Linked DNA regions of Ovis aries. Each later gene encodes a partner of the first gene's protein in a complex. Links are inferred from orthologs where the notes say so. Each region holds a gene or a part of one and is shown on either strand. Other genes may lie near its edges. The genes, in order: ERCC2 and POLR2C.

Region 1 (3,911 bases):
ATGGTGGCGGTGGTGGCGTGGGTGTTGAGCCAAATTAGTGAGGTTGCTCACATGACCCTGAGCCTTAAGGCATGCCACAGTGATGCTCCTTGCACCATGGAGCAGGAGAACAAACTGGGAACGAGGTAGGAGACAGACGAGCTCCAGTTTAGACATTTACAACTGGCCTCCTTTTTGCATTTCATGGGGCAGGAAGAAGTGAGCTTCAGGCTGGATACTTACAACTAGCCTTCTGTTAGCATTTCCTGAGACAGGAGATAGGTGGGCTCCAGTTTAGGCCTTTACAATCAGCCTCCTGTTTGCCCTCTGAAATGGAAGTAACAACAGATACAGGGTAAATAGCCTGTCTTTGTCTCTTGTAAACACCTTAAGATAATAATCATGGCAAGGACAAAGAGGGGCAAAACACTGTTTGAGTAAAGGATTAAGGGCTCTCCGCTCCCCTCCCTCACCCTTTCTGGGACATGGGAGACACACCACGACGGCAGAAAGGCTCCCGGTGTGTCAAAAGTCGGGGTGGGGGGTGGGGCGGTAATTCCAGGCCATAATGCGGCTTGCTGGTCCCAGAAGACTTCACCTCCAGATTCATCTTGGCTGAGGGTTGAGTGGGCACCTCAGGGGAGGGAGGGAGGACAAAGCAAGATGACTGGCCTGAAGGAAGACCAAGATCTGGAAAACTGTCCCCTTACAACAGATTTAAACTTCCTAAAGGTGTAACCCCAGAGTTTGCCCCTGCGTCTTTCCACATGTATTCTTCTTTTCCAATAAACTTTTTACTTTTCTCTTTACCTTCTGCCTCCTCCCCCGAATTTTTTCTTAACGCGGCAGGCAACGACTGGGGATCCAGGTCCTAGCCTCTGGCCTCTGAGATCCAGAGGTTAAGTTCCTGATCAGGAACTAAGCTCTTGTTCCCAGCTTCTGCTCGCTTCTGCTTGCTGCAAACTGCGGTTACTACTGCGTGCATCGGAAATCAGGAAGCGCAAATACACGGGACATGATAATTGGGAGCTCCTGCCTGCAGAATCCCATGGACAGAGGAGCCTGGTGGGTTACAGTGCACGGAGTCGCGAAGAGTCCGATACGACTGAGCGACTATGTACAGCACAGGGCATCCCTGGTGGCTCAGATGGTAAAGAATCCGCCTGCAATGCGGGAGACCTAGATTCGGCCCCTGGGTTGCGAAGATTCCCAGGAAGCCCTCTATGATCCCCCAGGCTCTGACCCTCTCTGGGTTCTCCCATTGTAGACTTGGTTACTTTATTGAAGTTGGGGAGAAAGGGAGGTGTACCTCTTAAAACCAAGAATATAATAGAATAAAATTGAGTATGCATCCCCTGCTCAGGTAATCTGGACAGACGCAGGAAGATCGAATCCCAGCGAATGAGATCGATTCTCTCAGTTCTCTTCCATCAGCGTTTCCTTCTCGGTACTCGGCGATCCTCCTCGATGCCTCCGGCCACACCTACCCCGGAACCCGCCTCCCGCAATTGCCGTGCGCACGCGCACTGTCTCCTGACGTCACTTCAATGGGGAGTGACGGGCAGGTTCAGCCAATGGCGTCGCGAAGAAGGTGGGGCAGCGCCTCGAGGATACCCTGAGGAGCCTGTCTTTCCTGAATATTCATAAGGGAGGCGGGCCGACGCCGCTCCAAACCGCGACCGGCGCCATGAAGTGAGAGGGGGGGTCTCGGGTTCGCGGCTCGCGAGCGGGAGTGGGGGTCCGGAAGATGCGGGGACGCGTGGTCAGGCCTCGGGTCCCGGCGGAGCGAAGGGAGGCTGCCGCGCTGGGGTGGGGATAGCTGCGGGGAGGGCCAGCGAGGGAATGCCGAAGGGACCTGGAGGCTGCTAGAGAACCGGGGGGATGTGCGGGACGGGCCAGCCGGCCGGAACCGCTCTCGGCCCGGCGGCAGGGGAGTCTGGGGGCTGGAGAGGGGGCTGAGGGGACGGGGGACTGATCCGGCAGCCCCCGCCGCCAGGCTCAACGTGGACGGGCTGCTGGTCTACTTCCCCTACGACTACATCTACCCGGAGCAGTTCTCGTACATGCTGGAGCTGAAACGCACGCTGGATGCCAAGGTGGGTGGGCCGGGCCCGCCGCTGCCCCCCTGAGAGGTGGGGCTGATCAACACGCGCCTTTAAGACTGAGATTGCAGCGGTCCCCAACCTTTTTGGCACCAAAGACCAGTTTTGGAGAAGTCAATTTGCGGACGGAGGGATTCAAACTCATTTTTGTGCATTTTATTTCTATTATTATTACATCGGGTCTATCAGACATTCGATCATTAGGCCTCATATCATCAGGTATTAGATCCTGGAGGCTGGGGACCTCTGGTCTAGAGTTTAGAAATCTGAGGTCCTTGTGATAGCCCCCGCTGCCAAACTTGGTATCTCAAATAATAGTAATTAAAAATAGCATCAGCTGACCTTTATCAAAGGCTGAACTGCTCCGTGGTAGGCTTAGGCATATAGAGACTCAGGAATTGGCTACCCACGGTAGTGTGTCCTTGGGTAAATCATCACTTAATCTCCCCTCTGCAGTCTTCACCTTGGTGAATAGCCATAGTAATAGTACCTACCTCAGCTTAATATGGGGCTTCCCAGGTGGCTCAGATGGTAAAGAATCTACCTGCAATGCAAGAGGCCGGGATTCAATCCCTGGGTGGGGAAGATCCCCTGGAGAAGAGAAAGGCAACCCACTCCAGTATTCTTGCCTGGAGAATTCCATGGGCAGAGGAGCTTGGAAGGTTACAGTCCATGGGGTTGCAAAGACTTGGACAGGACTGAGTGACTAACACTTTCACTACTTTCACTTTCATATTAGTGAGGGCTGCAGGGGTTAATTCACTAAGTAAGGCAGAAGTTCTCAACTGGGGACCATTTTGACCCCCGGAGGACATTCAGCAAAGTGTGGAGACATTCCCAGTTGTCAGTACTAGTGGAGGAGGGGTGCAACTGGTGTCTAGTATGTAGAGGCCACATTTGCTGCTGCAGTGGGGGACAGACCCCACAATCATATGGTATCCGGCCTCCAAATGTCAAGAGAGTTGAGGCTGAGATACTCTGATGTAAGACACTTAGTAATAGTGCCAGGCACAGAGTTAAGTGCTGTGCTAGGTTAAAAGAGAGGGCTCCTACATATCAGATAGAACTTCCCTGGTAGTGCAGACGGTAAAGAATCTGCCTGCAATGCAGGAGATTCCTGGGTTGGGAAGATCCTCTGGAGAAGGGCATGGCAACCCACTCCAGTATTCTTGCCTGGAGAACCCTGTGGACAGAGGAGCCTTACAGGCTATAGTCCTATAGTCATGGGGTCGCAAAGGGACATGACTGAAGGGACTTAGCATACATACAAATCAGATATTGTACTAAATATTTAGCCTGCAGTTTGTCCCTAATCGTCATAGTCCTGCGATGAGGAAGAGCTTCTTAGACCCCCCCAACCCCCTTTTTTTTTTTTTTTTTTGCTGCACTGCATGGCTTGCATGATCATAGTTCCCTGACCAGGGTTTGAACCTGGGCCCTCGGTAGTGAAGGCTCACAGTCTTCACCACTGTAGGCCAATTTTTAGAGACAGAGTCCTCAGAGAGGTTGAAAGGTCTTGCCTAAGACCACTCAACCAGAGTGGCAAAGTGAAAGTGAAGTTGCTCAGTCGTGTCCGACTCTTTGCGACCCCATGGACTGTAGCCCACCAGGCTCCTCAGTCCATGGAATTTTCCACACAACATTACTGGAGTGGGTTGCCATTTCCTTCTCCAGCGGATCTTCCCAACCCAGGGATTGAACCTGGGTCTCCCGCACGGCAGGCAGACGCTTTACCGTCTGAGCCACCAGGGAGATTCCAGAGTGGCAAAAGTGGGGTTCAAATCCACTGCCCCTGAGGCCTAGATTTCTAACTGCTATGTTGTGTCCTGT
Region 2 (3,911 bases), about 28 Mb from region 1:
TCTAGAAGCGGGAAGTCCAAGGTCAAGGTGCCAGCTGACTTGATTCTTGGCGCTTTCTTCCTGACACACACGGCCACCTTCTCCCTGCATTCTCGCACAACAGAGAGAGCATGCCAGTGTGCTCTGCGCTCTTCCTGGTTTTGTTAGAGCACTAATCTCCTGAGAGTTCTATCCTCAGGGCCTCGTAAAGACCCCCTTTCCAAGTATCCTCACGTGAGAAGTTGGGGCTTCACCATTTTGGTGCATGCAGCATCCAACAGCCATCTGTCTTCTGCGCTGCGGTCTCCTACCTGAGTGGACTGAATGACGATGGGAGTAACGGCTAGTGGGAATTTCCTGTCTCACGCACGTTCCTCTGGGCCCTTTCTGCACCTGATTCTTTTATCTTGACATCCTGTCAAGTTGCCTGCAGTAGCTATCATATTTTGTTCCATTCCCTCTTTTATCCTATATAGCATCCATCTCACACTCAACAGACAACCTTCTTAATTTACTGAGATGATACAGGCTTTAGTGCAAGGGCCCCCTTAATGCTCTTCTCTGTCTCAGATGTCACTCCTTGCTAAAGCAAACGCCTCTGTCCCCTCTGATGATTCTTTCTCTGCCCCCTACATGTTGTTCCCTGCCAAGTTCTATTTTAGGACTTCTCTGTATAATCTGCTGCCACCTGGGAATTCCCTGGCAGTCCAATGATTAGGACTTTACTTCATTTCAGGGGACATGGATGTGGCACAACCAAAAGCAAAAAAAAGACCCATCAGACCTCTTTGCAGGCTGTTTAAGACACTGCCTACTATGCACCTACATGTGCCCTTCCCATAGAATTTAAATTATCTGTAGGTTTCTTATAGTACCTAACACAATGTTTAATGCTATGGTAAATAGTTGTAAATGCTATATAAATAGTGCAGCAAATTTGTTTTATTTTTGGAACTTTATGGAATTTTATCTTCAATTGGTTGGATTCAAAAACCCTTGCATATGGAGGACCAACTGTACTTTTCTTCTTCCATAAATTTACACACTTCATTCTTTTAAAAAACGTTACAGTATTCCTGTGTTTGTATATTTAACCAGGTCTCTGTCAATGGGCATCTTTTATTTATCTTTTGCCAGAAACTGCTGCAGTGAACTGGAGAAGGAAATGGCAACCCACTCCAGTGTTCTTGCCTGAGAATCCCAGGGGCGGCGGAGCCTGGTGGGCTGCCTAGTCTATGGGGTCGCACAGAGTCGGACACGGCTGAAGCGACTTAGCAGCAGCAGCAGCTGCAGTGAACGTCCCTGTACATGTTTGCTTACACCTGCAAATGTTTCTGCAGTATGGATTCTTAGAAGTGTTACTGTGGAATCAAGGGCGTGTGCATGCTTTGCCAAATCGCCCTCTGAATGGTTGAACGTGGTGCCTCTTCAAGAAGGTGGGAGGGGTGGGTGGAAAACTTCAGGCCTCCGAGCAGCAGGCGGCGCTGTGAGCGCCCGTCCGCGCCAGTGGCGAGGCCCCGCTGACGGACTTCCGCTGGAGGAGTTGGCGCAGGCCCGGCAGAGCTGACAACAGAGGTCGAGCGAGCGGTGGGGCGCGATGCCGTACGCCAACCAGCCCACAGTGCGGATCACGGAGCTCACCGACGAGAATGTCAAGTTCATCATCGAGAACACGGACCTGGCGTAAGACTGCTGGGGGAGAGGTTGGCGGTTCTGGAGAGCCGGGGTCCCAGCCTGCGGGACGTCGTGTCTTTTCAAAACTGGCTTCCGCTTTGGGCGCGGTGGGGCGCGAGCCCGGCCTGTCGAGGTTGCGGTGCCCACACGCCGCTTGGTTTTCATTCCTCAGGGTGGCAAATTCTATCCGGAGGGTCTTCATCGCTGAGGTGCCCATAATAGGTAAGCGACCCCAGTCTCGTTGCCAGGGCTACCAGGCCTCTCTCCCCCCACCCCACTCCTCCCCTTGCCTTGCAGCTCCTGCCCCCAGCCTTGGTTTGGGCGAGGGATTGGGGGCGCTAAGAGGACAGTCGTGCTGGAGACTTGATCGGGCCCTTTGCCCTTGGCCCAGGCCCACTCTGGCCACCTCTCTGGCTCCCACGGGCTATTTAGTTCCATTCTTTTCCGTGCGTTGGTGACGCTCATGGGCTCAGGAGTCTGTGGACTGGGACTCAAACTGTTTTCACTTACTATCGCTGCGAAACTTGGGCAAGCTATTAAACTCTGTTGCAGTCCCCTCTCTAATGTTCGGACGCTAATAGCAGTTGTCAGGGCGACGTTAACGATTAAGGGGAATAATCTCTGTGCCTTGTGTTCAGTGAGTCTCCATTGCCCGGTAATGTGAATCTGTTCCGTCAGCTGCATCTCGGGAGCATATAAGCTCCAGGCAGTGGTGCTAGGCACTGGAAACGCAGAGCTGTGAAGTACAGGGTTCTCTAGGAGTTCATCTTCAGTTGCTCAGTTGTGTTCGACTCTTTGCGACCCCATTGGCTGTAGGCTCCTCTGTCCATGGGATTCTCCAGGCAAGAATACTGGAGTGGGCAGCCATTTCCTTCTCTAGGGGATCTTCCCAATCCAGGGATCAGACCCGCTTCTCCTGCATTTGCAGGCAGATTCTTCTAGGGTTTAAGGAGAACCGTAGCTGCAGTGGGTTTGACGCTTCAAGGAGAAAGGATCTGTTTCTGCTTTTGTTCCAGCCACTCTTCACTGGGTGTTCTGCCTGTCTACAGATATACTACAAATATTTTCCGAGTGTTAACTCTGAGTTTGGTTTAGGAAAAAGAGATGTAAGCCATAGTTACCGCATCAAGTGTGCAAATTCCTAAGGAGATGAACGGGCCAGTTGGTTGGTAAGCAGAGGACATTGTAGTTTTTCCACCATTACCACCCCCCGGAGACTTTTTCAACTCAGAGCTTGGAGTGCTGGTTCTCCTTCTCTGCCTAATCACCCCGTGGGGTCTCAGGACCTTAGTTTCATCATGAGTAAAGTGAGGCAGTTGTGCTTTAGGGTGCAGCCCTGACATTCAAGCGCCACTTTTCCCATGTAGCATGAAGCACCTCTTGCAATCCAGACCCCAGCTAGGAATACAGAAATTAAGACATCTGAAGACCCAAAGAAATTTTGAAGCTTGAGGTGGAAGCAAGATGCACACAGATATAACGCAATTTGACAAGTGTCTTAAGAGAAGTGTGGACAGAGTTCCAGGAGAGAGTAGCTTCCTCCCGGGAGAGAGTATTCATCTCTGTATCACAGAGGGTGGGCAAGGCCTGGTTTATAGGAAGCTCACAGGATTTTAAATCCTGCACAGGAGAGGTTAAAGGCACGCCAGTGGGAGGAAAGGCAGAGACAGAAAAGCTTGGCTCTTAGTCCTTGCTTGGCTCAGGTTTAGGAAGCAGAAGGACAAGCAGGTGGGGGTCTGGTCGTGTCTGGTCCTCTGTTCCTAGTGTCTGTGCCCCTCATTGAACAGTTGGTCTCACTGCCTTTTGACTTCTGAATTTAATTGTTTATGTACACATATTTATGAATGAATGAGTAAATGTGTTTAAATCAACTATGTGTGACACTGCAGTTCTCCTCCTCGCTCATGGCTGGTAGGGATTAGTATGCCCTACCCATTAAAGGAATTGGGTAAACATGATTTGGTTGAATGATAATAAAGTATTAATTTGGGTAATCTAGTCATTATATCACAAAAGGAGATGTGGGCCATAAGTCTATGTTACTTCTCTGAGGTTTGTCCAACTTTCAAGTGCCCAAATAGCTTGTGTTCTTACTGGTGTTGGCATGAGTAGCAGATTTAAGTGCTTCCCACAGAAATACTCCGCTCTGAGAAACACGCTCCCATTCTCGTGGTATCTTTAGGTCAGTGTTTTTGGGGTAATACAGGGAACTGTCTGCATCATAACTGCCTGAGCAGGGAAGTGCGGTGCAGTGTGTG

Evidence for each region.
Region 2: ERCC2 (region 1) and POLR2C share a complex: the UniProt entries of both Homo sapiens proteins name them as parts of the TBP-based Pol II pre-initiation complex. The link is inferred for Ovis aries from reciprocal best matches to the Homo sapiens genes ERCC2 and POLR2C.

The regions. Positions count from the first base shown.
Region 1 is NC_056067.1:52,782,307-52,786,217, reverse strand, and holds the start of ERCC2 (general transcription and DNA repair factor IIH helicase subunit XPD), read left to right. Parts: upstream 1-1,633; 5' UTR 1,634-1,666; coding exon 1,667-1,671; intron 1,672-1,975; coding exon 1,976-2,075; intron 2,076-3,761; exon of another isoform or gene 3,762-3,833; intron 3,834-3,911. UniProt on the Homo sapiens protein: ATP-dependent 5'-3' DNA helicase. Component of the general transcription and DNA repair factor IIH (TFIIH) core complex, not absolutely essential for minimal transcription in vitro.
Region 2 is NC_056067.1:25,049,249-25,053,159, forward strand, and holds the start of POLR2C (DNA-directed RNA polymerase II subunit RPB3), read left to right. Parts: upstream 1-1,538; 5' UTR 1,539-1,576; coding exon 1,577-1,662; intron 1,663-1,825; coding exon 1,826-1,875; intron 1,876-3,911. UniProt on the Homo sapiens protein: Core component of RNA polymerase II (Pol II), a DNA-dependent RNA polymerase which synthesizes mRNA precursors and many functional non-coding RNAs using the four ribonucleoside triphosphates as substrates.